Linked DNA regions of Arabidopsis thaliana. The protein of the gene in region 2 interacts with the protein of the main gene of each other region in a pairwise test. Each region holds a gene or a part of one and is shown on either strand. Other genes may lie near its edges. The genes, in order: AT2G27930, NAC028, DAR2 and AT2G36340.

Region 1 (6,516 bases), on a different chromosome or scaffold from region 2:
ATGATGCATTTCAGGAATAGTTTTCTCCATTGTAATCCTATTATCAGCGCAGTATTTTATAAACTCACCGCAAATGTACTCTTTACCATTATCAGATATTAGACACTCAATTTGAGATTTATCTCAACCATACTTGTTCTTCATAAAGTAAACTTCATACTGGAGTCATCAATGAAAGTCACATAATAGTGTGATACTCCTAGCGATGCAACATAAGCAGGTTCGAACAAGTTATTTTGTACTAGCTCCAACTTCTTAGATTTCAACTTCCTACCATCACTCAAAACCTAACCCGTTTCCGCTTTCCAAGGATGCAACTTTCATACATGTAGTGATTTAATATCTTTAAATTTGGAGATTCACCATTTGTTACCATGAAATTCATACATTTCTCGCTCATATGCCTCAATCTATAATGCCACAACTCAGTTTTGTTTTAGGCATTTTCGGCAACATCAACTATATATATCTTCATAGTTAGTGGTCATATAAATAGTGTCTCTTTTATAGCTTTTTGTACCTGTCATGGAACCCTTTGTCACTATTCAAGCTCCACAACCAACATTGATATCGTGTCATGTATCATCAAATTGTCCAACAAAAAATAGATTTCACATCACTTTCGGACATGTCTAACCTTTGTGATTTTCCATACAAGCTCATCTGACATCTTCAGGTTAATGTCTTCAACACCAACAATGTCCAAAGATAATCCATCTACTAGAGATATCTTCTCATAATTTTGGGCAACATAGTTCTCCATTATGTCCTAGGGAGCATTAGTGTGGAAAGAGGCTCCTGAATCAAGAATCCAAGAATCGATCTGACTATAAGCTGAAGAGATCGATGCTTCTCGCAGTGCGATCAACAACCGCAACATGAGCTTGACTTCCTCTTGGAGAATTATACTACCAATGCATTATGCATCAATTATTACTTTTGTACAATTCCACAATTCTCTAATTATTCTCGAGAAACGACAACACGTAATTCATAATTAATGTTATAACCTAGTTTTTTCTTAAAGTGCCATAATATATTATGTAGAACGTGAAGGAAATTAAGGTCGATGCGTACTAAAATAAGACCATCCTTTACGTAAAATTTTACCACTTAAATTATTTATGTAAATAAGTGAAAGTTTCATTTTCTTTTTTAAGTAACTGTACCTTTCGAATACCTAACGCCTACGACAAACTATTTTAATTATATAACAGCTTAGAATTAATGTCGAAGAACATTTCATGTGTCTATACAAAACATATACACATTCATGTCCCTTAACCATTTAGATATTTTCCCAAAAAAAAAGAAAAGAAAAAAAAAACCATTTAGATACACAATTATTGATCCCTAAACCCCACACAATTTCAGTCTAAACTAAAATATTTAGTAGCTAGATGGATATAGAGACAGGTAACTTCAAACCACCACATCGATTAGTTATTAGATTATCTACTCGGAAATAAAGTATACAGTATATCTCCACCGACATTCTCATAGTCTAACTAATGCCTAAATTTTCATGTTATTCCTTCCTTCCACAAAGAGTCTTTTTGAACTCTTAATTTTTGTATAATGTGTTTTAAAGGTAAGACTTATATTTCACAAAAATTAATTAGTATATCAAATAGAGTCCATCCTACAATCCTACAGTATAGATATATGTTATACAATTAGCTAGAAATGTATTTAATGTTTTACAAAAAAAAAATATAGGGAAATTAGGATTTTCTTCTATACAAATTGTTGGTTTTCCATGTGAGAGGATTGTGAGAAGTGAGCTGGACATTGTACAAATTGGGAATATATAAATACACCCACCCAATACGCATATACTATGCTATGTTTGGGTGGACCATTAACTGATGATTTTAAAAAGATAAAAATAAGTTAAAGAAAAGTTTTATTTTATTTCTTGAAAAAGATTGATTAAATTAGGAGGCAAAAGGAGCTCTATGAGGAATGCCTTTTCGTCGCCTAGAATTAGAGGTATGAGTTGGAGGATGCGTGCCTTTGTGCGTTTCTTGTTGTCTTTCTTTACGCAATCTTTCTTCTTCCTCTTCCTTATTCTTCCTCATTCCTTCAACCTGACATTTTTATTATGATCACATCATACATTTCCGTTATGCAAATGTACCATATACTTTTTTTTTGAGCAAAATGTACCATATACATATATACAAACATCTAACCTCGTATATATTTTCTTAAGATACATTATATGAGGCAAACAACATGTATTAAGCGAGTTTGAATATAGTTGATTCAATGAATTTACCATACAAGTAACTAAACATTATACGGTGTATCCTTAAACCGATTCCTCATTTTATATCGGACAAATAAATGCGAAGATATTAGTAATAATGATGAAAATATGATAAACCAATTTTGTTGGTCCAGTTGTAAAGTGCTCGTTAGATAGATTGACTTATAACTATGCATTCGTTTTTCTATGATATGAAGTTTACAGGTTTTTGCTCATGATTTATCCATCCAGCTACAAAAAGGAATTTTGCATTGAGAAAAGGTGTAGGAAAACGAACCTTGCAACCCAAGGAACAGAAGCGAAAGGGATCAAGAAGGGTTCTGCAACATGTCTCACAGAAGTAGGACATGGTTTTCGGAGTGGAGGAGGCGGCACCATGGGAGGAGTTCTTAGGCTGAGGTCTCTCGTTTAAGAAGAGAACCCTCGCGCTATTGATGACATAAGTTTGCACTCCTCTTATGTCCAATGCATTCTCTATCTCCGATACTCTCACCACATCATGATACGACGATCTTCTTATCTGTCTCAATGTTAATGATAAAGAATTGGATTGAGTCAAAAGTGATATATATATATATGTGTATGCATTGTGTGTTGAGAAAATGAAGGACCTGAAGGACGGGATGATCAATGTGAAAGGAGGAGCGGCAGTAGAAGCAAAACGCAGCGTTTTGACAGGAGAGACAGAACATGTTGCACTCATTTCGCGGTGTCTCGCGATGTCGAGGGCAAATGCTGAAGAAGTTTGTTCTTAAGAGACCTTCGAGCCATTTCGGCTCCTCCATTAATCTCTCTCCTGTTTTGTTTTTCTTAGACAATAATTACAATATATACAAAAAGGGAAGAGCGAGACAAAACCTTATGAACAATGTAATAAATTACGAAGAACATGCTCTTGCCATTTGCATTACCTTTATGAAGATGATCAGTAGAGGGAGAGAGAAAGGGTATTAGATGATTGATTTTTGAGACAAGAGGAGGAAAAATCAGATTTTAAGGGTAAGAGAGAAAGGAAGATATAAATTTTATTTTATTGTTGATAAATGAAGATTTTATGTTTTTTTCTTCTTATTTAGGATTGGTAGATATCTTTTCAATTCTTCTCTTAATTATTAAATATTTATTGTTAATAGTTTATTGGGGGAGGAAAGGGAAAGGATATATAATTAGATATGATGTTTGGTTAAGGTTGATTCCTAACCGTTGGATGAGGCCATTGAGTAAATGAGTTTGATGACAAAATTACAAGCTAATTAAATGTGTATATAGATCAAAATTTGTTCCAACTTTGACTACAAAAATAACCAAAATATTAAATGATAATACTTTAAATTTAATATATATATATATGAAAATAATTAAATTCAAAAAATGTTTCTAAAATATATTTAATTAACATTTATGATTTGAATAATAGATTTCTCGAACTATTGAAACGTGTACATCCAAAAGAAACACACATTATCAACATATGTCAAATTAAAGAGATCAAAATTTGTTCCAACTTGGAATTTAATTATAACCAAAAAATTATAATGGTAATACTCTAATTTTGACATATCTATATCAATAAATGAAGAAGAATATATATATATATATATATATATATATACATATATAATTTATGGTTTACCTAAGAAATTCTTCAAACTATTGAAACGTGTACGTCCAAAAGAAACATACATAAATTATCAATATTTTCCACTTGGTATTAATCTTTTGGTTTGTAAGGTTGATCTTTTTGTTCGAGCCAACATTAAACTACATTAGATGGAATGTTGGCTCGAACAACCACATTATTCAACTTAGTTTAAAGAGTTTCAAACACTGTTTATCCCCTCATGCAAAATTTGAATCTCTTTTCTAGGTGATGACATTCCTCATTTCACTATCTTTAACCGATACTGCTTTTGAGAAAGATTACAAGGAGTTAACTCGGCTGATGACGGCCACGTCTGATGAGTGGTCTGGTCTGTCAAAGGGTAAATTTGTCTATCATTAGCATGGTGTAGAGAGAACCTTCTAATGTAAATCTTTGACTCTTTGTAGTGTCAATTGTAAAATTGTATATGAAATCCCTCATCAAGTAAAACTGCATGAATGATTTGTTAGTTGAGAAGATCGATCATTTGGAACAAAATAAAAATAAATTAAAATATTACAGACAAAAAAAAATATTACAAACACGTAAACTAAAGTTCACACTAATCGGTGGACCTCAAATATGATGGGGGAAAATGCCCGCTAATTACTCTTTAGGGAGGGTGCTAGCCTACGTGGTTGGGCGTGCCGTTTTGAGATGGAGAGCATCCGATCAGGACCAGTGTGTCAGTGATTGAGTTTGGAGCCCATTTCTTCTTATTCCTTTTGAGTTAGTTGATATTTCCCTAAGTGACTTTTTCTATTGGGCATTCTAATGGACCTGGTTTTGAACCTTTTTTGCCTTCAGTTTAGTATGCTTTTATTAGGTTAGGCGTTCGGGTATTCACATATAGAGTATAGATTGATTGGTTCTATATATGCGAAAAAAAATTAACTGACAAAAAAAATTATGCGATGTCTTGTGCTCGAAATAAAGAATAACAATTAGAAAATACGAATCTAGGGTTCAATCCATGGATAATTACTTGGAAAAATCCTTTACCTTGTAGAAATTGACATGCTATTTTATACAAAAAGAAACATAAGATGTCAATTTCTTTGTGTATAAAACATGCAAGAAAATTATTTGTTATAAAAAATATAGAAAATGTGAATTCAGATGGGTTTGAATGTGTTTTGGCCTGTCACCTTTTTCGTATGCTAACTTAATTTTTTTTTTAATTTGTTTTTATAAAACAAATATGGTTATAGTTAGCCTAATTAATTATAGTTGCGTCGTTATTATTATTATTATTTAGTAACAACATAATTTAAAATCGGAATGTTTTGTGTGAATAGATATACTATCTTGGAATTGAAAACTTTTATCAAACTTCTGACATGAAAGCTAAGTTTGGCCATGTACGTATGAGTTAAGATATTAAATTGCCTGAATATTCAGATGTACTTTTTTGAAATTTTATTTTCCTCTTATCTGTTTTTTAGCTCAAGAAAGTGACGCAATACTGATAGCCAACATGTGGAGTAGTTGTTGCATCGACCTTACGTTAATTCCCCGAATAGCTAAATATCAAATTGCTTTATCATCTCTTACTATTTGAGAATAAATTCAGTTACGGTATTTATTAAAAAGGATAACGGACTTACGCATGAATCTATTCGTAATCAATGAGTGGAAACCACTTTTTTGGTGTCATAGTTGCATTCGTGCCGGCCGCATCATCTAAGAAGCAAACCAAGGAGATTGTTTTTACTACTACGTTGCTCTTGCTGTCTTGCAAAAGATCAACAAGTAAATATCCACCCATAAACTCAGGCCCGATATCCAAAATCCAGTATAGACACTAGGCAGAACACTATAAGTAGCAATCTACACTTCATAGACAAAAAAGGCTAATCAAACCTAGTTTCGTCTTAAGAAAAGTAATAATCTAAAACAACACTCGCTCAAAAACAATAAATAACATAATTTACGTGATGTTCTTCTGTTTCCCTCAAATCGAATGAATCCATTTTTCCTTGAGTGGTGGAGGTTCATCGGAAATAACCATACCGATATTTTTCATGACCACAATACTTTATTCCGTCGTACACGTTTATCTACGATCTAGCAATCAATCTACGAAGCCAAGAAACAAGAACAGAATGTGGATGACCAAAATTTTGTGCTACAAAAAAAATTATCCAAAAATATCACAACCTATTGCTGTCAGAAAAACAAAACAAAAATATTAATGTTCTCTTATGGAAGAAAATATTTCTTTTACTTTTTGGTTAATAATTACAGTAAGAATTTAGCTGACATTCTATCTTTACTAGTGAATTTTCATTATATAATATATAGTATATATATACCAAATAAGGTTGAACCAATAGCATTGACTTAATGACTTGACACTCCATAATATATTGCTTCCTATAGTGTCTTTATCCCTCTCAAATTTTCTTTTCTCTCTCCCTCTCCCACAATCACAAGATAGGAAAATTGATCCACAAAGAATCGTCTGAATGAAGACAACAGTTGTTTATCTGGTGATTCTATGTCTCATTGTTTCATGTACCAATGGAGAAACCAAACATGTAAGAAAAATTAACTCCGATGGATCCGAAGCTTGGGGATACGTCGAAGTTAGACCAAGTAC
Region 2 (8,675 bases):
TATTTATGGGGAATTGATGGTGGAACCATTGAACAGTCAGGAAGCCAGTTCTTGACTCGGAAGATATCCGATGTTCTTGGCGGATCTTTGACTGTTTTAAGTGTTGCTTGTGGCGCGTGGCACACGGCAATTGTGACTAGTTCTGGTCAGCTTTTCACTTATGGTAGTGGAACTTTTGGAGTTCTTGGACATGGGAGTCTTGAGAGTGTTACAAAGCCGAAAGAAGTTGAGTCTTTGAGACGCATGAAGGTCATATCTGTCTCTTGTGGACCGTGGCACACGGCTGCTATAGTGGAAACCGCGAACGACCGGAAATTCTACAACGCCAAGAGTTGTGGAAAGCTGTTTACTTGGGGAGATGGCGATAAAGGACGGTTAGGACATGCTGATAGCAAGAGAAAGCTTGTGCCAACTTGTGTTACTGAACTCATTGATCATGATTTCATAAAAGTCTCTTGTGGATGGACTTTAACTGTTGCTTTAAGCATTTCAGGAACGGTTTATACAATGGGAAGCTCGATCCACGGACAGTTAGGATGTCCGCGGGCAAAGGATAAGTCGGTAAATGTTGTTTTAGGCAATCTAACACGACAATTTGTCAAGGATATTGCTTCAGGTTCACATCATGTAGCTGTTCTAACTTCATTTGGAAATGTTTATACTTGGGGAAAAGGCATGAATGGACAACTTGGTTTAGGTGACGTTAGAGATAGAAACTCTCCTGTTCTTGTTGAGCCTTTAGGTGATAGGTTGGTAGAAAGTATAGCTTGCGGGTTGAATTTGACGGCTGCGATCTGTTTACACAAAGAGATCTCTTTGAATGATCAAACCGCTTGTAGTTCTTGCAAATCAGCTTTTGGATTCACAAGGAGAAAGCATAACTGTTACAACTGTGGTCTATTGTTTTGCAATGCATGTAGTAGCAAGAAAGCGGTAAATGCTTCGTTAGCACCGAATAAAAGCAAGCTTTCTCGGGTTTGCGATTCTTGCTTTGATCATCTATGGAGTATAACAGAGTTTTCAAGAAATGTTAAGATGGATAATCACACTCCGAGGATGCAGATGGTTACACGAAGAGTATCTGAGGATTTGACAGAAAAACAATCAGAGAATGAGATGCAGAATCTTCCACAAGCTAATCGATCTTCGGATGGACAGCCTCGATGGGGACAAGTCTCTGGTCCTTCTCTGTTTCGTTTCGATAAGATTTCGACAAGTTCTTCTTTGAATCTTTCAGTCTCAGCAAGGCGAACATCTTCAACGAAGATTTCAACCTCGTCTGAGTCGAATAAGATCTTAACCGAAGAAATCGAAAGGCTAAAAGCCGTGGTAATTAAACTACTTCTTTTTGTTTTCTTACCTGTAACAATAGTAACACATTAGACACTAAAGATACATTTTTATGAACATGTAGATAAAAAATCTCCAGAGGCAGTGTGAACTTGGCAATGAGAAGATGGAAGAATGTCAACAAGAGCTCGACAAGACATGGGAAGTTGCTAAAGAAGAAGCAGAGAAATCGAAAGCTGCTAAAGAGATAATAAAAGCCTTGGCATCGAAGGTAAAAGATACATAGTTTTTTTTAATCTTTCTGTTTTTGGTTTGTTATGTGACCGACATTTTCACGGTATCTTTGCTTGCAGCTCCAAGCGAATAAAGAGAAACCGAGTAATCCTCTGAAGACCGGCATTGCATGCAATCCTTCTCAAGTCTCACCAATCTTTGATGACTCAATGTCCATTCCATACCTCACACCAATCACCACAGCTCGTTCACAACACGAAACCAAACAACATGTAGAGAAATGTGTCACGAAATCCTCGAACCGTGACAGCAACATTAAGCTATTAGTAGATGCATCGCCAGCCATCACAAGAACAGGGTATCTCCAAAACGAAACACAAGACTCGTCAGCAGAACAAGTTGAGCAATACGAGCCCGGTGTATATATAACTTTCACGGCCTTGCCTTGCGGTCAGAAGACGCTTAAACGCGTACGGTTTAGGTAAAAAAATGTTAATGTGCTTTTAAGTGTTTATATAGTTTGAAGTACGCTTAAGTATTTATATGATTGGTTTCTAACTTTGGTTGCAGTCGGAAGAGGTTTTCAGAGAAGGAAGCACAAAGATGGTGGGAAGAGAAGCAGGTTTTGGTCTATAACAAGTATGATGCTGAAATATGAAACTAACTTTTGAGTTTACTTCTTCGAATGTATTTTAATTCATTTTGATGTTTGTTAGTGAATATATGTAATGCAGAAAAATTTCTTTATTTAAGAAAAAATGAAAAAAAAATACTGGGAAAAAAATTCCAATATATGATTAATAAAAATATTTTAATGATCATCTAGGAAATATATATGCGAGTTAAGAAAAATGTTTGTGATTTTGAGCAATGAAGAAGACTTGCATAGTATGTAAATGTAAGTAGAAATATATCTAACATGCTATCTTCAAAATGCGATTGGTTCAATATTACCATTGAGGCATTGACCACGAGATAGAAAATAAAATGATGTATATCAAATATAAAACTTTCATTCTATATTATAGAAAACGTAATAATTGACTATGAAATGTGGCTTAAAATGTGTGAAAACAGTGAGAAAGCATCTCAAAAATTAACAACGTAAAAAATAGTTTACTTATTATGTTTTCTTAAAACCTTACATTAAGTTCTAGTTGTTGAAAATTCCTTATAAATATGTCAAATATGTCACGTCCTTACGTTGGTCGATGCCAAAAAATATGACGAGCAAAAGTTATTAACTAGTATAGGTTTATACATATATATCCGTTTTTACAAGCAAAAATAGTTATCAAATTGTCTTTAATTGGTTACTTTTAATATTTTCACTAGGAGCAAAACTGATAAATGAAATTGACAAATATCTAGTCTATATGCATAAACACGTTACGCATGGATGAACAAAAATAAACATGTTTAGATGAATTATAATGAACGTGAGTTTTCCAACATTGAACATGATACCGAAAAAGCTTATTAAGAACGTTACTGAGAATCAAATTTACACGGAAATATATAAACACATTAAAGTAAAAAGAAAAGTTAAAGTGGAAAATATGTTGTGGGGTTTGCAATTGGCAACCGACCCTAAATGCTTTTTCCAGCTTCTTTTACATAATTTTAATCTCTTTTTGTCTTTCTTACAATTTCATCACTGATCGATCGAATTCAAACCCTTATGTTACGCTTCTTTCTTATATAACTGTCTCTTCATATTCTCACTCCTTCTCCTCCCTCTTCTCCTTTTTCTCTCTTAAGTTCTATAAATGTTCATATTTGTTTCTAGCTAAGAAGTTTGTATAAGGCAGTGGACATGGCTCCTGTTTCAATGCCTCCAGGTTTCCGGTTTCATCCAACAGACGAAGAGCTTGTCATATACTACCTCAAGCGAAAGATTAATGGTCGGACTATTGAGTTAGAGATAATACCCGAGATTGATCTTTACAAATGCGAACCTTGGGATTTACCTGGTATATTTCTCTCTTTGCTTCTTTTTTTTCTTTTTCATAAGATGCAAATCTATCATTTTTTTTGGTCATCCGCAAGTATTTACCATGGACGAAGGTATAAATTTATGATTCTGCATCGTTAGTACATCAACATGTTGTGTCTCATGTTAAAGAAATTTTAAATGAGACCATACCATAGCAACCGAAGGAGAAGACTCTATCTGGTTCTTTTCTAATATGTCATAATCATTTGATTGATATGCTTAGTGTAAGATCATTTTTTTTTGGAATTTAGTAAGAATAACGAAAAATAGATTCATTTTTCTGAAAACTACATAATGTGAAACTAATGTTTGAAAGGGTAACCCTTGAGAGAAGAGACACTTGACGTCCTTTCTTTTTCGAAGATAGATGTTCTTTCCCTCTTTTTCCTTAACATAATATAATTCCCATTTTATTTTCACATTTTTACGTACCAAGTTATGTATCTCTAGTCACGCATCGAACTTGGAATCGAACGTGAATGCTTTATCAACTAAATAATCTTTAATAATTATGATCCCAACTTTATGTTAGAATAAAATTTAAATGGACCCACCCTTATCTTTAGTCTTTAAAAGGATTGTAATAAAACCGAGAGATGCGGTGGTGACTAGTGTGAGACAAATTCGGAAGACCGAGTCAAAAAAGGTAAGAAGATTGAAAAAAAAAGATAATAAGTAACTCACAATAATTTCACATGTGCTTTAGGGTTTTGGAAGCTTCTCATTCACCTTCAACTTTTTGTTTTAAATATAAAACAATCTAATGTTCTCTTTATTTGTCTTTTCTTTTTTAATCTTTTGGATTCTCATGACATGTTATGGAATCTTTAAGTAGTGTGTACAAATTAAGATTGGATATAATTTATCTTAATTGTATGATCCTTGCAGGGAAGTCCTTGCTGCCAAGTAAAGACCTAGAATGGTTCTTTTTCAGTCCTCGAGACCGGAAATATCCAAACGGATCAAGAACAAACCGGGCGACCAAAGCAGGTTACTGGAAAGCCACCGGGAAAGATCGTAAAGTGACTTCACATTCACGGATGGTTGGAACAAAGAAAACATTAGTTTATTACCGAGGAAGAGCGCCTCATGGCTCTCGTACCGATTGGGTCATGCACGAGTACCGTCTTGAAGAACAAGAATGTGACTCTAAATCCGGTATACAGGTAAGCTAACTTTTAAAAAGGTTATCAAAAGATTAAGATTCTTAACTTGAATATAAACCAATGTATAAACATTTCAGGATGCCTATGCACTTTGTCGAGTATTTAAGAAGAGTGCTTTAGCCAACAAAATTGAAGAACAACACCATGGTACGAAGAAGAACAAAGGAACGACTAATAGTGAACAATCTACTTCTAGTACTTGTTTGTATTCTGATGGAATGTATGAAAACCTCGAAAACTCGGGGTATCCAGTCTCACCTGAGACAGGAGGCTTAACTCAACTCGGTAATAATTCGTCGTCGGATATGGAAACGATAGAGAATAAATGGAGTCAGTTTATGTCGCATGACACGTCCTTCAACTTCCCACCTCAGTCTCAATATGGAACAATCTCATATCCTCCCTCGAAGGTAAAATTTAAACTATATATCTCAAAGAAATACAAAATTAAAATTGGTGAATATGTAACCTTTTGTTTTCAAACTAATCTCTTATCCATTGAATTCTCCTCATATAATAGGTTGATATAGCGTTAGAGTGTGCAAGACTACAAAATCGTATGTTGCCACCAGTACCACCACTTTACGTAGAAGGTCTCACACACAATGAATATTTTGGAAACAATGTAGCTAACGATACAGATGAAATGTTGAGCAAGATTATAGCATTGGCTCAAGCCTCACATGAGCCACGAAACAGTCTAGACTCATGGGACGGTGGTTCTGCTTCCGGGAACTTCCATGGAGACTTTAACTATTCCGGAGAAAAAGTCTCATGCCTAGAGGCGAACGTGGAGGCTGTAGATATGCAAGAACACCATGTGAATTTTAAGGAAGAAAGACTTGTTGAAAACTTGAGATGGGTAGGAGTATCAAGCAAGGAACTTGAAAAGGTAGTGATATTTTACAATGTTAAGTGCAAAATATTTTATGTGTTAATATATATGTTATCAAATATAAGTATATGTTTGATTTATTCTACAAATTTCAGAGCTTCGTTGAAGAACACTCAACGGTAATTCCTATAGAAGATATTTGGAGATATCATAATGATAATCAAGAACAAGAACATCATGATCAAGGTAGCTTTCACTTCGCGATTTCTACATTTGGTTGTCTTTCTTGACATCTCTGGATTTGATTTTTTTGTTTTGTTGTTGTTGAAGATGGTATGGACGTTAACAACAACAATGGAGATGTGGATGATGCTTTCACACTCGAGTTTTCGGAAAACGAACATAACGAGAATCTTTTGGACAAGAACGATCATGAGACAACGAGTTCCTCATGTTTTGAGGTGGTAAAAAAAGTTGAGGTTAGCCATGGATTGTTTGTCACAACTCGTCAGGTAACCAACACATTCTTCCAACAGATAGTACCATCGCAAACCGTTATAGTTTATATAAATCCGACGGATGGCAATGAGTGTTGTCATAGTATGACATCAAAAGAGGAGGTTCATGTCCGTAAAAAGATAAATCCGCGAATCAACGGAGTAAGCTCAACAGTTCTTGGACAATGGAGAAAATTCGCGCATGTTATTGGCTTCATTCCTATGCTTCTATTGATGCGTTGTGTTCATCGAGGTAACTCTAACAAAAACAGAGGCAGTGAAGGTTACTCGAGGCAGCCTACGAGAGGAGATTGTAACAATCGGGGAACAATACTCATGATGGAAAATGCTGTCGTGAGAAGAAAAATTTGGAAGAAGAAGAAAGAGAAAAATATGGTTGACGAACAAGGTTTTCGGTTTCAAGATAGTTTCGTATTGAAGAAGTTGGGGCTTTCTCTTGCTATCATCTTAGCTGTTTCTACCATAAGTCTTATTTGAATACTGAGGTTCAATATATCATATATGGCTTTTCACTTTTCTATTGTACTCCCATTTGCCTAGGTCGTATTTACTCTCATTTGCTTTTTCCATTTCTCTAAAGTCGTCTAAACAAAACTAGATTTGGTTATTTTCTGTTTATGTATTAAGTGATATGATCTCTCCGCGGGTTGAACGATCAGTCTTCTGTCTGGTTTTTATTATTATTATTATGTTTGCATGCACGTAAGACGGTAAGAGCAGATTATACGAACATTAACAATTTAGCCATCTTGTATTTCAGTATTTTAGTCACTATAGATATGTGAGTAAGTTTATAGTCATTTTCATAATAACTTGTTTATTATAACGATTGCTGTTCCATGTTTTGCAATGTATAGATCATCAAAAATTACTATCGAGCTATTTTGTTCTTGAATCTTGACAGATAATATTTAAGAATAACCTATACGGTTCAAACTGTCGGTTTCAATATTAAAACAAATGTGAATGGAAGATAGAGAGAGGAAAAAAACCTCTCTTACAAAAGAATCTAGGTGCGTCAGAGAAGCTCGCCAATCTCATGGAGCCAAGATTTGCTTTCCTGGCTCTTAATAGTTTGTATGGATCGGCGATTGAAACTTCATTATTCTCTCCCAAACAAAACATAGAATAAACGAATGTGTCTAACGCTGAGTGAAGAGGACTAGACGGACTTGCCCCGTCATAATATGCATATTACGATACGTTGCAACATTAACAATGTCGTGAGTATGCATATCTCATAACATACCAAATATCGATACGTTTCAACATTGAATTTTTAATATCTTAGTCATTAGCAATTAATAATTAAATCTTCTTTTATATGAACAAATTTATGATTTACAAAAAAAATAGATGTTATGTTTCCATGGATCATGTTTTCAAGCTTGACCGAAAACAAGCTGCTAAAAAGTGTCATAAAAGTTTGGTACTAGTACAACTAGGATTTTGTAACTCTAGCACAAGAACCAGTTCAAAAGATGATTATGCATACTGGATTTTTATAGATATTGTTGATTCTTGCATGGCAATCAAAGAGTTTGGCAGCTAGGTATACCTTTAGGGGTGATGTCGACACCTCTCATCTAGCCTTACTTGCTGAAGTATAACTACAATTGAATCTCACTCCCCCTACCAGAAACTGTTTCCTTCCTCATCTTCATTAGGATCAGATCGGATCACAACAACAAACTTCGTCGAACTCAACCACGATGGACAGTGGTGGCTGAGGTTCGTTGCCTGTTTTAGGGTTGAAGATTGAGATGCGTTAAGTGACTTGTGAGACTTTAAGTAACACACAACGACATAATTTAGGGTACTTGGGCCTTAATGGGCTGGATTGGAGTGTTACAATATACAAAGTTCATCGGAAGTTTAGGTTTATTTTAAAAGATGTTCAATGTGGATCCTAATTTCATGCGTTTTAAAATACTTTAAACATAAATCCCAACCAAAAACAAAAAACTCCCAATATCCTTTGAAATTTACAAAGTTCTTTGAAAGTTTAGGTTATTTAAAACATTGTTCCGTTGAAATATGGATCCATTAATTTTCATGCGTCTTGGTAAGATGTATCATATTATGGATATGGCTTTGAGCCTTTGACTTTATTCCTACTTTAAAGTTACAACTTAAATCCCATTTAACCAAAAAAAAAGAAAACAAGAACTCCCATATCCTTTGAAATTCAAGAAAAATTAATGATACAGTTGGTATATATCATTAACAATAATTACAACACCCTAAAATGATTATAATTTGCGTTATCTTTTACGATCTCAAATCTTGGAGTCGAGATTGTGGTAATGGGGATTGGGATGCACGTGGTGATACGTAATGGGTGTAGACAGAAAATCACAAGAAAGCGAAAGTGGTAACTATTGAAACACAAAGTGACAAATCAAATAATAGTCGCGTGCTTTCTTCACGGGTCACCTCCTCTATTGTTCTCACAATCAATCAAAACCTCACTTTCCAAATATTTTTTATATTTTTCTAATTTTTTTTTTGGTTGTGGTAAGAAATTATTTCATTGTGTTATAAACAGCATTGAGATCGATTTTTAAATTTCTTAAACGGAATTAACCAGAAATTTATACATTTATTTGTTTTTCACATGCTTTTGCAACCTTGAC
Region 3 (9,279 bases), on a different chromosome or scaffold from region 2:
GAAATTAACACCTTTGAAAATTGAAATAAAAGAAACTGAGAAAATAACTGACAAGTTAAAGAAGAAAAGATGAGGGATACAGGACGACGTCGTTTAGTGAAATTCCAAAACGGGCTTTAGCTTAATCGGTAATGGGCCGTTTATGAGATCTAACAAGTTGTTTAGTAGGTTCGTGTTACTTTTGTGTACTAATCAACCTAACAAGTAATTCAAAGAATAAATGTGGTAACTTCAATCAATCATTTGGGATTATTAACAATGTTTCGTACCTATTTTTTTCTTCTTATAGTTGTGTGAATAATGATGTGTTTAGTATATTTATAAGAACACGAAGGATGCAAAATGTATCATTTACCAGAATTTTTTCATCCTTTTTGTAAGGAAAAACTATAGTTATGTAATTCTACATAGAAAATGAATTGGTACGGTTAGAGATGTTGTTGTGGGTAAAAAAGCCCAGCCCGACCTGAATCCAAAATAAATCCGTCCACCAAAAACCCAACTTTAAAAAACCCAGATGGATTTTTGATTTAGTGGGTAAAGCCCGAAAAAACCTGATTGTTCCGAGACTACCTGTGGGTACCCAACTTGATTTTTATTATTTTCTTATAATTTATGTTTAATTGTTAATATACTATTATATGTATGTTGTATCTATATTTTGCTTATAAATATATTTTAAATTATATTTATTTTTTGTATTACATATATATTTGATGGGAAAAATGTTAAATTGCGTTTTTGGCGGGAAAATGTTAAATTGCGTTTTTTGACGGAAAAATGTTAAATTGCGTTTTTGGCGGGAAAAATGTCAAATCCTTTTCTTGGCCGGAAATGTTGAATGTCGTTTTTGGCGGAAAAATGTTAAATTGCGTTTTTGGCGGAAAAATGTTGAATATCATTTTTGGCGGGAAAATGTTAAATTGTGTTTTTGACCGAAAAATGTGAAATCTTTTTGGCGGAAAATGTTGAATGTCGTTTTTGGCGGGAAAATGTTAAATTGCGTTTTTGGCGGGAAAATGTGAAATCATTTTTGGCGGAAAAATGTTGAATCGCGTTTTTGGCGGGAAAATGATGAATTGCGTTTTGGCGGAAAATGTTGAATGTCGTTTTTGGCACGAAAATGTTGAATTGCGTTTTGGCGGGAAAATGTTGATTGTCGTTTTTGGCGGGAAAATTTTGAATGTCTTTTTTGGCGGGAAAATGTTGATTTTTTTTTTGGTGGTAAACTGTTAAATCGCGGTTTAGGAGAAAAAAATGTGAAATCTTTTTTGACAAAAAAATGTTGATTCACTTGAAAAATGATTTTAAAAAAAATCGTGGGTACCCATAACCCAATGAGGTAAACCCATATGTGTTTTATTTATTTGGATACCCAGCCCATTTTAAACCTGTGTTTTATTTCCAGAAAAAATAGATCTATGAGCTTAAAATTTTATGTGTGTTTTGGGTACCAGTGGATTTTAACCCATCATTAACATCTCTAGGTACGGTACTCTAGTGGTGGCCTACATTGGTTGATAAAGTCATAAAGTCAATATCGTTTAAACATGCAAATGCAAATTTTATGGACCGGATTAAGTCGGAATGATCCGTATGTTGAGGCTTGAAAGAGCCCATCAATGCAATGGAAAATAGTCGTCTCTTTTCTTTTCCTTTCTTTTCTTTACGATCATAAAGTTCTCTTTTTTTTTGGGTGAATATTGTAAAGGTTTTGAGTCATTCTTTCCAACTCAATTCCACGTTTCTCATCTCTCAAGGCTTTTTACTACAAAAATCTTTACAGATACAAAGTTAGAGATTTATAACAACTTGGATAAGATGTCTCATGCATGAGATAAGAGAAAGTAAATTCTTGTATTTTAGGTGATTAAAGGAATAAAGACATATGCAGCATTTTTGCATCGGCTACTCAAACTCAGCTAAATTCTTCGCTATATATATATACTTTATTTTGTTACAATAATTGTATCAGACTAATACAACTTGATCCATGTGTAGGAAAGTTTCAATAAGATTGATCGTTTTTATGTTACCAAAAATAAAAAAAGATTGATCGTTTAAAAAGTCATTCTTAACAAGAAATAAATACTTGTTGAACTAGAAGTCTAGAACAAATACATTTGTTCAGACATTTTAAATTGTAAGATTAATTACATTCACAAAAAAAATTGTAAGATTAACTGAGGAATATAATGATGTAATAGGAAACTAACGCAAATGCTTAAAATGTTTTAACATTTTCATGATGAAAAATAAGTAAACATCTTTGGGGGTATAGATACTTAAGATAAAATATATAACTTGACAAGAAAAAAGAAAAGATAAGCATTTTCTTTAAATGAGAATTCCCAAAAACAAGCAGCCTTAATAGAAAATAAGTTATGGATCGTCCATACAGAGATCGACTTTAGCAAGTTGATAAAGAAATGGTCAGATCTCAAGGTGGAAACTGTTGCTGAAAAAAGCTAGATTTGATCTGATGCTGTCTTTAACCCAAAATATTAATTTGATCCCAAAAAAAAGGTAATTTAATCGAAAGAAAGAACTTAAACATGACAATAGGTTAGGCTTTTGTTCTGTAAAAATTGGGTGTCTGATTCCACTTTGAAGCCTCTCTTTCACCTTTGCTGCGTCATCACCGGTCACGACCTTCCTATAGATTGATGCCTCAAATTATAAATAACAATATTATTATTGGTCCGTCGTTTGTAATGTCATAAAAGCTTAATTCCCATTATAAAGTTGTCTGTGGTAACGTTGCAAAAGCGCATCTTTATCGTGTATTAGAGTATGACCTTTGTTAATACGCCCATATTATGTATAGTGCAAACATTGTTATACTACTTCTCATGGATTCATGAGTCGGATATTTGAAACCCAAAAACAATTACAAGAATCATACAAATTTTGAAACTAAAGTTTTAGTTAAAAAATAAAATGACATATCTTCAATGTAGCTATAGATTCATTAAAAACTCGGTGAGGGTATGAGACCATAAAAACAAAAACAAGGAAAATTTAACAAAACCAAAGTTTAAAGGCAAATAGTTAGAGCCGATGGAACGAGCGTCTCCATCAAAACCCAAAAAGAAGAATTTTTTTTTGCTTTCGTTTACAAATCTAACTTTTTGGTTTTTCTCCCCAACAAAAAAAAAAAAAATAAAGTGTAAAAAGAGAGAAGCTTAAAAGGTTTCAACTATCTTCCTCCTCCCCACACCGTTGCTTGAAGGATTCTTCCGCCTCAGCAAAAACCAAAAAGACAAAAATATTCTCTTAAAAAAACATCTCTTTCTCTCTGTTCCTTTCCTTTCAGAAGCTAAGCATCTCTTCCTTTTCTTTTTCTCTTTTAATTTTTTTTTGCCCGATCTCTTCTGCAAAGATTCTCTCTTTCTTTCTTCTCTTTTCATTTATGTTTTCATTCTCTAATAACAAATTGTAATGACTTATAACTTCTTCTTCTTCTCCCCTCTTCCTTCTTCTTCCTCCTCCTCTTCTCTTCTTTGCTTCTCTCTCCGGCCGTCGTTTTCGCTTTACTCACACGTTTTCAAGTATATTTAATCACGTGGGGGCCATTTTTCCATCCTCATGGATTCTTCTTCCTCTTCCTCTTCTTCTTCTCCTTCTTCTTCCTACGGTGTTGCTCGTGTCAGCCATATCTCCAATCCTTGCATCTTCGGTGTGTTTTCTTTTCTTACCAAATTCTATTCTTGAGACTAAATATTAAAAGCGTAAACCTAACGTTTTGATGATTACAGGGGAAGTTGGGTCGTCATCTTCGTCAACGTATAGAGATAAGAAATGGAAGTTGATGAAATGGGTGAGTAAACTTTTCAAGAGTGGCTCGAATGGTGGTGGTAGTGGTGCTCACACTAATCATCATCCTCCTCAGTTTCAAGAAGACGAGAATATGGTCTTTCCTCTACCTCCTTCTTCTTTGGTAATTATTTTCTTAATTATACTCGTTTAATTTGAAACATCTTTTCTTTGAAAAAATATTTCTATTTTAATCTACACACAAATACTATAGACATGTGATTTTTCATATTAAAAGCAATATACAGAAGACATGTGAACATACACTACTGTTTTACTTTTTTTTTTTTTGCTCGAGTTGTTTGAAACAAATAACATGGGTCATGTACATTCTGTAAAATTGTCACATCTTTGAATGAGTCGGTCCATTTTGTATTTTATTGTTGTCATGAGTCTCGTTGGGTTTTGATGCTCAAATTGAGATGATGTGACAATGTGGCCTTGAGCACTATTAGGGATAACAAAAATAGGTAGAAAATGGTTTATAAGGTTGGTTCAATAAGGAGTATTTATTAGTGGCCGAAGTTGAGATATTTTCGATTCATTTTCATGTATTATTCGATTAGATTCCAAAGTTACATAATTACTATATTATTATATGCTTTAATTTGATTGTTTATTAAGATTTATTTCTTAATTCTGTATAATCAAAATATTTCAACTTTTAAAAGTTAAAATGAACTACCTAGCTCATTGTGGTTAGGAATATAATTTTAATCCATGAATGAAATAGATAAACTGAGGTGGCCTATTTTGATACCTTTTTTTTTTTGTCAACCTGTTTTGATACCCTTATGCATGGTGGTGGAAAATTATTTTTATCTGAAATATGCTAATTTGTTTCATCAACTATTTTCTTGATGCCATTTCAATATTTTTTTAATGGTCATGTCAACGAATAAACGAATCACAGGATGATCGGTCAAGAGGTGCACGGGACAAAGAAGAACTCGACCGTTCAATTTCACTTTCTCTAGCTGACAACACGAAGCGCCCACATGGTATTTCTATCTACTTTCATGAATTAAAGTATTTGTTAGCAAAAAAAATTGAAGTTGGTTAAAAACGTTATTTCTATTGCATTAGAGAATGAATTTTAATTATGAAATAAATCGTGCAGGGTATGGTTGGTCTATGGATAACAACCGAGATTTTCCAAGGCCTTTTCACGGTGGCTTGAATCCATCATCTTTCATTCCACCTTATGAGCCTTCCTATCAATATAGACGAAGACAAAGGTACAACAAAACACATTCTCATAGTGAAACAAAAAAAAAATATTCCTATCAAAAGTAAAATAAAAATAAGCTGTTTATTGTAGCATTATTTCAAAAATACCTACGTCACGAATTTCCAAATAAACCTTGGTTCGAACTTTTAATCGTGACATTGCAAATTATGGAAACAAACTTAATATTTTCATTTCTTGAAACTTGATTTCATGATCAACTATCGTAGAGAATATAATTTATTTTGCAGCCATTTCCAAGTGCACATTGGTAACGTGGTTTACGTGATTTTTAGCAGAATATGTGGCGGTTGCAATAGCGATATTGGATCGGGGAACTATCTAGGATGCATGGGCACATTCTTTCATCCTGAATGCTTCCGTTGCCATTCTTGTGGTTATGCTATCACTGAGCATGAGGTATACATATATGCACACATATATATATATATAATAATCAATATACTCTTAATTTGTGTTAATGTCCTTCTGAAGTGACTAAGGTTGTGTGTTTTGTCTTCTCTCTTGATTCAAGTTCTCTCTGTCAGGAACCAAACCCTATCATAAGCTTTGTTTCAAAGAGCTTACTCATCCCAAATGCGAAGTTTGTCACCATTTTGTAAGCAACGTTACAATCACCTTGAAATTTTTTTTAAACATCATATATTTTTATATTAGTTCCAATTCCATATTCTCTCCTCAGATACCAACTAATGATGCTGGCTTGATCGAGTATCGATGCCATCCGTTTTGGAACCAAAAGTATTGCCCGTCTCACGAATATGATAAAACTGCTCGTTGTTGTAGCTGCGAACGTTTGGAGGTAATCAAATACAAATAATTTAACTATTGATGATAAGTCCATATCTATTCTTTTTTAGCAAATTAATTGTGTTTTTTTCTTTCTATGTTGTGATCATGTAGTCATGGGATGTGAGATATTACACGTTAGAGGATGGGAGAAGTTTGTGTTTAGAATGTATGGAAACCGCGATAACCGATACTGGAGAATGTCAACCGCTTTACCACGCTATAAGAGACTATTACGAAGGAATGTACATGAAACTTGATCAACAGATTCCTATGCTTCTTGTTCAAAGAGAAGCTCTCAATGATGCTATCGTAGGAGAGAAAAACGTAATATCTTTTAGCTTATACATAACCATTTTTGTTATAGTTTCTCTCAGAATACAATAAGAGTTAATCCTAGATATATCTGTATGTTTCACAGGGATACCATCACATGCCTGAGACAAGAGGTTTATGCTTGTCTGAAGAACAAACAGTTACAAGTGTATGTCTCTTCCTGGAAAGTTACTTGAAATTTTGATTCTAAACAGTAATTTTATTTTGCTCTGTTTTTTATTTTTTGGTTCTTCACAGGTTCTTAGAAGACCGAGACTTGGTGCTCACCGTCTTGTTGGTATGAGAACTCAGCCTCAAAGGCTTACACGCAAATGTGAAGTCACAGCGATTCTAGTTCTTTACGGGCTCCCGCGGTACTACACTACTCACTCAATTCTCAAATTCCCTTTTCGACAGTAAATGACTACTAACCTAATCACTTTTGTGGATGAAGATTACTGACCGGAGCAATTCTCGCCCATGAGCTCATGCATGGATGGCTAAGGCTTAATGGTACATACTGTAAGATTTATTTGGAGGTCACACATGTATTAATCAATCTGTTAAGAGTCATTATTTAATATCAAAACCTAAGTGGTCACCTTAGTATAAAGTAATTTTCAATCACTTTCTTGTCTTACACGAAAAGTAGGAGGAGGGGAAAACTAGGTTTACGGTTGTTCGTTTTTTTTTTTTGTTAGTTAACATTAATATGATTTTGTGTTATATGCTACATCTGTTTTGTTAACTATAACTATCAGCATCTTAAATTCTTTTGATTTCTTGTTTCTATTAGGGTTTAGGAACCTTAACCCTGAGGTAGAGGAAGGAATCTGCCAAGTCCTCTCTTACATGTGGCTTGAATCTGAAGTTCTCTCAGATCCTTCAACAAGAAACTTGCCTTCAACATCATCGGTGGCCACATCATCATCATCATCCTTCTCGAACAAGAAAGGAGGAAAATCAAACGTGGAGAAGAAACTTGGAGAGTTCTTTAAACATCAGATAGCTCATGATGCGTCTCCAGCTTATGGAGGAGGTTTCAGGGCAGCAAATGCAGCGGCTTGTAAGTACGGTCTTCGTCGAACACTCGATCATATCCGCTTAACTGGAACTTTTCCTTTGTGATCAGATTTAATGTTATGTGTCATCTTGCTATATGTTCTTGATTTGGATTTGATGGATCACACAGCGTTTGTGTTAACTTTAAATAGAATCTCAAGACAGACTTTATCTCCCCTTGGATTTTGAATGGGGATATTTGTTGCTTGGAGATTTTATAAGAACAATGACTGAATACTAATAACAAAAAAAAAGGCTTTATTTCCAAAGAAAGACCAAAGAAATTGCTGATGAATGATAATCAATATGTTTCCAAAATCTTAAACTGGAACAAGAAGAAATTACTACTTAAAACCAAGTCATAAAGAGCAGCTCCTTGAACACATTTTGGCATAAACAGTAAAAAAAGAAAACAAGAAAGCGTTAGACATAGGTATCGATCAAAGACTTCCTCATTTCACTACCGACGAAATCAGGCTGAGATTGGACTAGTTTGAAGATATTGTTAACAACAGAGAGCTCTACTGCAGTAGTATCTGACCCACAGAAAGCGGTCCAATCGTTCACAGTCAAACCCGCGGATATAACTTGGCTGCCACGGTTCACGGTTCCTGCAACCAAAGGCACCTGAACAAGATTCGCTAGCTCGACCATTTCTTCCACGTTGGTATTTGAGTGAACCTGTACATCATATTAGCTAGTCAGGTGATTTTCTAGTGAGACAAATGCCACAAAACAAAGACGAACCAAAAGAATGGGTGTTTTTTATATAGTTGTCTACTAACCATTCCACCATTATTGGATAAAGAACAATAACTTCCCACAAGTTCGTTATTCGCAATGGTTTGGCGATAAACTTCAACACCAAGAACATCACTTATTATCTCTTCGGTGTCTTTCTCGAGCTTTGGATGCACAAGCGCGACATAGTCATTGCAAGCTATAGCGTTTCCAAGTGCACATATAGGTTCTTCAATTCGTTGGACTACAACTTCATCAGGCAAACTATCTCTCAAATGTTGAAGCTCTGTTCACATTATAAAATAGTCCCTAATTAATAAAAAGATTATTACAATAACTATATGAACTTGGAATAGTGGAAACCAAATCACCTTGGTCTGTAATGGTGTGAGACAGAAGAAGTCCGTTTTTGTTTCCGACACATAGACTACCAATAGTCCCTGATCCTCCTATGGAAGTAGTAACAATTGGGATAACACCTTTTAACTTCGACTCATAACCACTACAAATAAATTAATTAAAATTACAAGTCATAGAAAAACCAAACTTGTACGTGAAAACTTAATTAGACAATGTGAAGACTCAAGAGTGTATGTATGTATATATACGTGAAGAAGTTTGCGGAGGCAGATGTTGCGGAAACGAGACAATAAGCATTTGTGAGTTTGGAAAAGACACCAATTTCGCAATTATTGTTATCATATTGAAGACCTGCCAAAAACAAGAACAGAAAAAAAAAGAACAATCCTGTAAGCAACTTGAAAAGAAAGCATCGTATAAAAAGCTAAAGCTTAAGGGAAACTCACGAGTCGCCATGATATGGATCCAACAAACACCTGCGGAATTAAGTAACACGAAAACCTAATATGAGATTATGAATTTCAATACAGATCCAAGGCAGAAACAGAGAATGAAAGATTTAGGTTTTCGGATCATTGGTTATGCTATATTGAAAGATTTAGTTTTAAGGTTTACCTTGTCGACAAATCGGAACAAAAAGTGACGGAACGATAGGAAGAGACCCTATTCTCTCTTCCGAAAACCCTATTTATATATCAGAAACTTGGAACAAGCTTATGCTACTTATTTCCATTTATTAGTTTTGGTAAATAATAAAAAAGTTAAAAATTAAAATTTTGAGAGGAAATTGTGAATGTAAAAAGAAAATGATTTAATCTCAATGTGTTGTTATAACTTCTACGATTCAACAATCAGCTGCACCAATATAAGAAATTAAACATACTCATAATAATAATATCACTCCGCTCATCACAATGATATCTTTAAAATAACTGTCCAAAAAAGGT
Region 4 (7,553 bases), on a different chromosome or scaffold from region 2:
AGTTGACTTGCACTAGGCTCTAAGGAAGTATCGACTTCCTCAACCATTTTTGTAGCAGAATTTACAACGATTTTTAGCTTCTTTTTAAGCAATATCTTCTTCTTCGGCCGCGGTTTGGGACGTGGGATATTTCTTGTCACCTTGCTTACCAGTTTGCTCTTCTCTGTTCCTGAACCAGGAAAGTTATCCAACTTTCCTTTTAACCCTGAGCTCAAAGCTGTTGGCTCACTTTTCACTCTAGCTGATGAGACGATGCTCTTGTCTAGCTCTTCAGTATCAACTTTGCTGCCAGAACAAGAAGGCAGCGAGGTAACATGTTTGTCGATTTCCACTAATTGATCTTCAATGACCATATGAGGAGGAGATGTATGATTTTCATCTATCTCTATCTCATAATCTCCACTGCCAGAACTGAGACAAGATCCAGATTTGTTGGATTTACACAGTGATACAGTCTCCAGCATTCCATATCCCACTGTCTTTATTCCCGACCCATTTCCAAGTACGTGGAGAAGGATTTCAGCCTGAGATGGTTCAGAAATGAAGTTAGATGGCTCTGTCTCAAGGACATCATACCGCTGAGGTACACTCTGGGAGGAGCTGGGTATATCGACTACCGGCGTCAAAGATATTTCAACCAAGCTTTTACCCTTGTCCACAGGAAGCCCAGGCTTGCCAGCAGATTCATTCAAAACTTGTCTGTAAAGAGTCTTTATCCTGTCTGCTTCAGAAACCCTCGGAGATGCAGCTGCAGATTTTGATAAACGTTTCTGGGAAGCCATTTCTGATGCCTTGGAGATGCAAAGATCTCTCAGAGCCTGCTTCAGAGATATTGAATCAGAGGGACCAACTCTTGGTGATCGAGGGGTTCCCATGGGAAAGGGCTTTTTCATAGCGCCTTTATTTGAAGGGCTTGTGCTCCTGCTCGTACCAGCACTTGCGCTCGTCTCAAGATGATGGAAAGAAGAGCCCATCACTCTTCTAGGTGATGGTTTTATAGTTATAGACTGGAAAAGCTGATCAATGTCATACTCCATAGAACCTTGGTACCCTGACTTCAATGCAGGACGCTGCTCCATATCTTTACTTGATCCCAAAGGTGACATACAATATCTGCTAGAATGTTTGGCTAACCTTACCGCATCCTTCTCCTCAACAATTTCACAAGAACCTGCAAAGGATTCCATCTTAATGACTTACTTTACAACAGTGGACAGCTCCTCATTACAAGACTTGGTTTTTGAAAGACCGAGAGACTCATCTTCCTTGGTTCATCCTAATAATTCCAGTACAACACCCTGCAACAATCATAAGAAGAGACCTTATGGCTTATTTTAAATAACTCACAGAGCAATAATCCAAAGGAAGAGCAGTGTCTATTGAGTAAAGGGAAGGAGAAATGATGAACAAAGTAAGGAAAGGGAAACAACAAGAGATTTAAAAAGGAAATGAACAGTGAAAGTCATTATAGTTATAGACTCAAATGATGAACCCTACACAAGTACAGATAGAGATTAGCTACTTTTAGACTTTAATTAACAAAAAGAAGACATTTTTTTGGTAGGGAAACCAAAACTTTTAATAGAAAGAAATTCATCAAAACCACAAGCCAAGTTCAACTCACTTCACCTAATGAAAATGTAATCAAAACCCATTAAATGTGAAATCAAAGCAAAAAAAAAAAGCAGCCTCGAGATCCCAGATCTCATGAAGCTAACATAAACAGAATGCTAAGAACACTAGCTTAAGTAAAGATTCAACTTTTAATGGAAGATGTCAAAATCTTCAAATCCTTCTGAAGGAAGAGTCCCCAAATCTCATCAAAAGAAACAAATATCGAAAAATGCAGAAGCAAGTACAGATACAAAGACGTACCTAATAACATTAGGAGGCAAAATAAGCTTCTAGAGAGTGATTACAGAGCTCAAGAAGACTCCCAAAAGAAACCTAAAGCCTAAAGGCCTGAGCTTGAAGAGAATCTCTCACAGAGATAGAGTAAAAAAAAAAAATGGAAAAATTTTCTTTAAATTTGTCGGGGATTTTGGTGTTTAGTGTTTCGGTGTGATGATAAAGTTGAAATGTGAAAGTGTGGGACCCAAAGCATATGTTTTGGCTGAAAATTACGTCCAAATTCGTCGTTTCTTTTTTTATTTTCTTTTCGTCTTCATTACATTTCACATCAATCTCTTCTCCGATAATTGTTGTGTAATAAATATTTTGAGTTGATCTATGGTCTTCGTTGAGTGTGTAGTACAAAAATAATATCTAACACAAGGTGAAATTAGTGGCATGTGGCAAAATGCGAATCTTGGCTTTAAGTGCTTGTGTCTTTTTCTCGAAAGAGACAGACGCACAATAAGAAAAGAATGTTAGTGGGCCTGAACAATCGTTATCGAAGCCCAACCCAAAAGGAAGAGTCGAAACAAACACAACACTAAAAAAAGGAGAATCTGCTATGGTTAGCTCTAACTGTTACTTACCTCAGTTACCTGGCTCTAGAACAAGAACGGATCGTGGATACATCATGTTTTTTCTTATCAATATGACACAACCAAAAAAAAATGAGATCATTCCAAAAGCAGAGATTTTTCTTCATTGAATCAAGGAGAAACTCCTAAGTTTGCAAGCTTTGCGGCGAAAGTTAGTTTCTTGACACACAATCGCTGCTCATCAACAAACAATGCCTTCCATTCGTTGATGAGCTCTTTTCTTCTTTCAACTCCAACGTTTTCCAAATTCTGAAGCAGCAATTTTTGTTGATATCTACCTAAACTTTGAAAAAATGTATCCTCCTTAAATATCTCCTGGAGAACACCCAACTCAACCACATCATCTTCTTCACTCTTGTCTTTCACACCATTTTTACCTAAACCTTGAAACGATATCCCAGAATCAAGTGTGTCCTCCATAACACCTACCTCATCCACACCATCTTCTTCGCTACTCATCTCTTCCTCACCATTATCAATCTCGATACTCACCCGCTCTTGCTCCTCACAAGGCACATCCTTATTCTCTTGCTCCTCACAAGGTACATCCTTATCGCCTTTCTCCTCACAAAGCACATCCGTATTCTCTTGCTCCTCACAATCCTTACTCAAAACAAGAAACCAAGATCAATAAATCATGTTTTGAGGTGGTAATAAGAAGATCGGTAGAAACAGAACAAACACACTCACCATGGTTTGGTCCAATTTCTCTTTCTCACCATTATCAATCTCTATACTCACCCGCTCTTGCTCCACACAAGGCACATCCTCACTCTCTTGCTCCACACAAGGAACATCCTTATTCAAAACAAGAAAACAAGATCATTAATTCATTGCACATCATTAGTAACACAATTTTTTACATCATGTTTTAAGATGGTAACAAGGAGATTGGTAGAAAAAACAGAACTAACACACTCACCTTGGCTTGGTCCAATTTCTCTCTCACACCATTATCAATCTCGATATTCGCTCGCTCTTGCTCCTCACAAGGCACATCCCTATCGTCTTGCTCCTCACAAGGCACATCATTAGTCTCTGGCTCACCAGAAGGAACATCCTTATGCAAATCAAGAAAACAAGATCATTAATTCATTGCACATTAGTAGTCTAAGAGATTGTTGAAAAACAGAACAAAGACACTCACCTTAGCTTGGTCTATATTCTCATTAGAAACATACTCTGATTCATTCTTGTCCCATATGATCAATGACAATTTGAAGATTTCATCATCATCAGTATTAGTAAAAGAAAGTTGTTCCCCATGGTTAGATCTCCCCTGATTGTATGTAAACTTTCTCTTCATGTTCTTGACCTTATTGATGAGCTGAATCTTCGAAAACTTTGCTTCTACACAATCTTTGATATAACGGTACAAGGCATCCCAGTCAGATCTATAGCTCAATTTCGTTTCATTCTCATAGTCCACAATACCCTTTTACACACACACACAAAATAGAGTAAAAAAAGTTAGAAGAGGATAAAGAAGAATATAGAGAAGCTGCAAAGAATTTACTAACTAACCCCGAGAATGACAAGCTCATCGTTTTTAGACCAGTTCATCTTTGAAGCAGAGGAAGACAAGCTCAATGGTGTTGTCCTCGTCGTTGTTGTCCTCGTCGTTGTTGTCCTTAGTTGCTTTCTCCTACTGAGCATCGCCTCAACTTCAACCTCACGGTTCCTCGTGAGTGTGTCATCCGAGTTGGTGTCGATGGAATCAGCAACTCTCTTCGTACCAACCATTGATCGGTGATGAAAGATCAAAACTTTGTCAAGTTATATAAAACTCTCAGAAAGCTCAAAACCCTATTGTCAAACAGAGTCTCTCGAGTCTCTCTATTTAAAAACCCAGAGACGATACGAAGCAAAAGCACGATCAATCCTTTGGCGGCTATTGATATTCTCCAGGCGTAGGAACTAGGAAGTCCGAGTGTCGAAAACGTAAATGACTAAAATACCCTTTTCCATTTTTAAACATTGGGCTTGTGCAAGATGGTTTCTTCTTCCTTCTTCAGGGTTCAAGATGCACAATGGATAAGTCTGAGGTCTCATTTACAATCGAGGACACTCATATGGCTCAAGAGCTGAAAAGTTGTTGCCTTTTGCTCTGTCAGAGTCTTTATTTAGTTGGCTATAAAGACCCTTTTGACAACAGGATATGCCTCTCTTATTAACCTCATAGTTTTTGGAAACCTTTATATAGGCTACAAAAATAGTATAATAATTACAATGCTAAGATATATTGATCATTTTTATTATACATCACACAAGGAGTGTGGACCTATACAAAAAGGTGGGAGGATCAGAGAGAGCCTTGGTTAAATAGGTTATAGCCTGAAATGAGGGAACTGAAAGCAAAGGCAAGGAAGGCCAGGAAGGACATAGCAATCGAGGCACTTGCCATCTCTGTGAACTCGTCTTTTCCCCAGTTTGAAACCCAATCATCAACGCGAGTGACTGCTGCTGTTGAGGCAGACATAAGCAGATATGCAAGTACCTGATTGCACAAACAAAACAAACCTTTCTTATTCATAATTCCATCTGTTTTTACACATGCTTTTGAAATGTTTTGCAGGGGACGAAAGAGATTTCAATTATGTAATGAAGGGAGTAGTTTGGTCAAACAAGTATAACAGTCACTTTCACCATGTTTTCCGACCTATAAGATAAATCCCTTTCCACATATGCTATAAGCTAAAGCATAAAGAAAAAGAGTAACAATATTGGACTTTAACCACAAAGTGTTGTTCTTTGATTCACAGGAGACAGGGTAAATACCAGCAGATGGTGCAAGTCAAAGTATCAGGAATTATCTATAGCCAAGTTTTTCTCATCACCTAGATGCAACCACGTAGATCATACTTCATACAAGAACGAAAGTAACAAAGGAATACCATCGAGAGTACAGCATAAGTGTTAATGACTTGCCTGATCTATAATGAACTCAAACAGAGGTCGAAGGTGGTGGCTGATCAAATGCTTCTCTTTGACAAGATGGTACGCTAAGTCACATGCTTGAAAACTAGAATATACAAAAGCAACCACGTTCACAGACAGGCAAAACCTGTCACAGATATCAGAAGATGACACATAGATAAATCAGTTTAGTCTCAAAATCAAAAATCAAATCATACTAAACTGACTTCAAATGTTTGACCAAAACAACAAAATGGAAACTGCAAATGAATTCTTACGATCCAACAAATCAAAATCAATGTCAAAAGGAACAAACTTTACTTCTTTTAAGGACTTCACCAAGTTCAACCAAAACATAGACTTGGACCACGCAAGTGTTAAAGACAATTCACATGTACTAAAACTAAAGTAATCCAAATTTCTTATCAAAAAACCAACACTAGTGATACTGATAAAACCCTAAACCCTAAAATAAACCCTGAACCTAAATTCAAGAAACATCACTATCTGCGAAGAAATAAGCACAAACACAACAAATAATTACCTGTACTCCTTGTAACGATCGAAAGAATCACCACTCCAACCTTTAGTTTTATCAGCAGCCATAATTGAGAAAGATATCAAAGCCAACACAACCTCACTCAACCGAAACCCTAAAGCTGAAAACTTTACCACCTCTTCTCTCCTAGACCTTCTCAAAATAGCCGAAACAGCTCCAGATCGTTGGCCACTACTTCTCCCAGAACCAACTCTCGCACTCTTTCTCGTCGGAACCACTTCTTTCACAGAGCGATTGTGATTATGAACCACCACAATCGGAGATGGAGTTTCCTCAACCTTTCCAGGATTCTTGTTTCTTCTACTCTCGGGTTTACTTTTCGCATCTTCCTTCTCCGATTCACTGGAATGATCAAGAGAATGTGGCGGCGATGGAGAAGAAGAGAAGTGAGTAGTGGAGTTATCGAAAGCTACTATAGCCATTGAAGTATCTGACGGAGGTGGAGATTTCTCCGTGGAAACTGAAGAAGGTGACATCGACGGCATCGTCTTTGCTGGAGATCTCATCGGAAATATCAAACCTTTGTAACGAAATTTAAGGAATTTGACAACGCAAAATCGAATTTAGGAATAAGCGTTGAATTGAAGCGACAAAGAACAAAAGTGAAGTCTTTGATGAGAATCAAACACAGAAAGAAGACTTTGCAAGATTCTTTGTCTACTTCTCCCTGTATTCTTGGTTCTTTCGTATAATGCCCCACTATTTTAGTTTTGACAATTCGCACCTAAAACTTTGATTTGTTCTTTGTGGCCCTTGGTTTTGACTCTAGACTAGAGTCTCTAGCTAATAATTATTATTTAAGTGGGTATTGAAATAATCTTTGTATGCATTGTTATGAAGACAATTGATAATCATCATATATCATTAGAATGGAGAATTATTGCATATTGATCTAGTTGATTTAAAACTGTGAATCAGGAAGAAGAAGAGAAAAAACAGAACGCCATCCTTGATCACTGATATGAACATTGTCCCAAAAGAAGAATGATTTTGGATCATCGCAAAGAGTGTACAACTTTTTACCACTCAAGCTTCTATCTCCACAAAAGGTACCTCGTTTTGTTGCACAACATGCCTTAAACGGATCCGGAAATGTCGAAACTCCTGCCCAAATTTAAACATTTATATTATATATCCCATCTATTTAGGTATATGTATTTCTGTTTAATCTATCAAAGACGTGATCGGTTATGTTTGGTCATATACAGTGTTGGTATATATCTTACGTACCTGAAACTCCTTTGTTCTTGAATATGGTCACAAAGGCATTGTAGAGATCTAACGTCATGAAACTTTTATCATTATTGTTAATCTCCTTATCGTTTAGTTTTATCAGTCCTTTGCGGAGAAGACTGTTGTGGAGGTACGTCGAGGTGTCGTTGGTGTCGCAGCCTTTAGGAGTGACAAGCTTCGGCAAACATTTCTGCGGTGGTGATAAAGCCACTAACACCTTTCTTACTCCTAAATCCTTAATTCGCTTCACATCCAACAAAATCTGTTTCACTACTTTCCTTGTGAGTGCTGAACGACCCTGCCAGATTTTATATTTTCAAAAGAAATCGAAAATGTTAACTTATATAATATATGGA

The links.
Region 1: the proteins of NAC028 (region 2) and AT2G27930 interact in a two-hybrid assay, tested with the Arabidopsis thaliana proteins (one large-scale study listed by BioGRID).
Region 3: the proteins of NAC028 (region 2) and DAR2 interact in a two-hybrid assay, tested with the Arabidopsis thaliana proteins (one large-scale study listed by BioGRID).
Region 4: the proteins of NAC028 (region 2) and AT2G36340 interact in a two-hybrid assay, tested with the Arabidopsis thaliana proteins (one large-scale study listed by BioGRID).

Annotation. Positions count from the first base shown.
Region 1 is NC_003071.7:11,888,910-11,895,425, reverse strand, and holds AT2G27930 (PLATZ transcription factor family protein), read right to left. Parts: upstream 3,330-6,516; 5' UTR 3,184-3,329; exon of another isoform or gene 3,069-3,183; 5' UTR 3,058-3,068; coding exon of another isoform or gene 2,976-3,057; coding exon 2,550-2,975; coding exon of another isoform or gene 2,457-2,549; exon of another isoform or gene 2,091-2,456; coding exon 1,938-2,090; 3' UTR 1,698-1,937; downstream 1-1,697. Other genes in the region: SCPL51 (serine carboxypeptidase-like 51), read left to right, coding at 6,383-6,512.
Region 2 is NC_003070.9:24,518,774-24,527,448, reverse strand, and holds NAC028 (NAC domain containing protein 28), read left to right. Parts: upstream 1-3,188; 5' UTR 3,189-3,340; coding exon 3,341-3,497; intron 3,498-4,408; coding exon 4,409-4,686; intron 4,687-4,763; coding exon 4,764-5,096; intron 5,097-5,206; coding exon 5,207-5,578; intron 5,579-5,676; coding exon 5,677-5,767; intron 5,768-5,851; coding exon 5,852-6,516; 3' UTR 6,517-6,781; downstream 6,782-8,675. Other genes in the region: AT1G65920 (Regulator of chromosome condensation (RCC1) family with FYVE zinc finger domain-containing protein), read left to right, coding at 1-1,329, 1,415-1,561, 1,644-2,005, 2,095-2,182.
Region 3 is NC_003071.7:16,617,968-16,627,246, reverse strand, and holds DAR2 (DA1-related protein 2), read left to right. Parts: upstream 1-3,096; 5' UTR 3,097-3,588; coding exon 3,589-3,679; intron 3,680-3,758; coding exon 3,759-3,940; intron 3,941-4,729; coding exon 4,730-4,817; intron 4,818-4,936; coding exon 4,937-5,054; intron 5,055-5,343; coding exon 5,344-5,464; intron 5,465-5,579; coding exon 5,580-5,663; intron 5,664-5,747; coding exon 5,748-5,867; intron 5,868-5,968; coding exon 5,969-6,181; intron 6,182-6,275; coding exon 6,276-6,338; intron 6,339-6,427; coding exon 6,428-6,543; intron 6,544-6,623; coding exon 6,624-6,691; coding exon of another isoform or gene 6,692-6,750; exon of another isoform or gene 6,751-6,965; coding exon 6,966-7,297; 3' UTR 7,298-7,504; downstream 7,505-9,279. Other genes in the region: eIF6B (Translation initiation factor IF6), read right to left, coding at 7,655-7,912, 8,017-8,258, 8,344-8,474, 8,581-8,683, 8,779-8,788. UniProt on the Arabidopsis thaliana protein: Acts redundantly with DA1 and DAR1 to regulate endoreduplication during leaf development.
Region 4 is NC_003071.7:15,232,537-15,240,089, reverse strand, and holds AT2G36340 (DNA-binding storekeeper protein-related transcriptional regulator), read right to left. Parts: upstream 4,604-7,553; 5' UTR 4,233-4,603; coding exon 4,014-4,232; intron 3,925-4,013; coding exon 3,637-3,924; intron 3,550-3,636; coding exon 3,412-3,549; intron 3,288-3,411; coding exon 3,180-3,287; intron 3,093-3,179; coding exon 2,601-3,092; 3' UTR 2,186-2,600; downstream 1-2,185. Other genes in the region: AT2G36350 (Protein kinase superfamily protein), read right to left, coding at 1-1,187; AT2G36330 (Uncharacterized protein family (UPF0497)), read right to left, coding at 4,792-4,986, 5,418-5,553, 5,950-6,470; AT2G36325 (GDSL-like Lipase/Acylhydrolase superfamily protein), read right to left, coding at 6,866-7,068, 7,195-7,495. UniProt on the Arabidopsis thaliana protein: Probable transcription factor. Involved in stress responses. Plays a repressive role in cell expansion by counteracting the positive role of CPR5 in this process, but does not regulate cell proliferation or endoreduplication.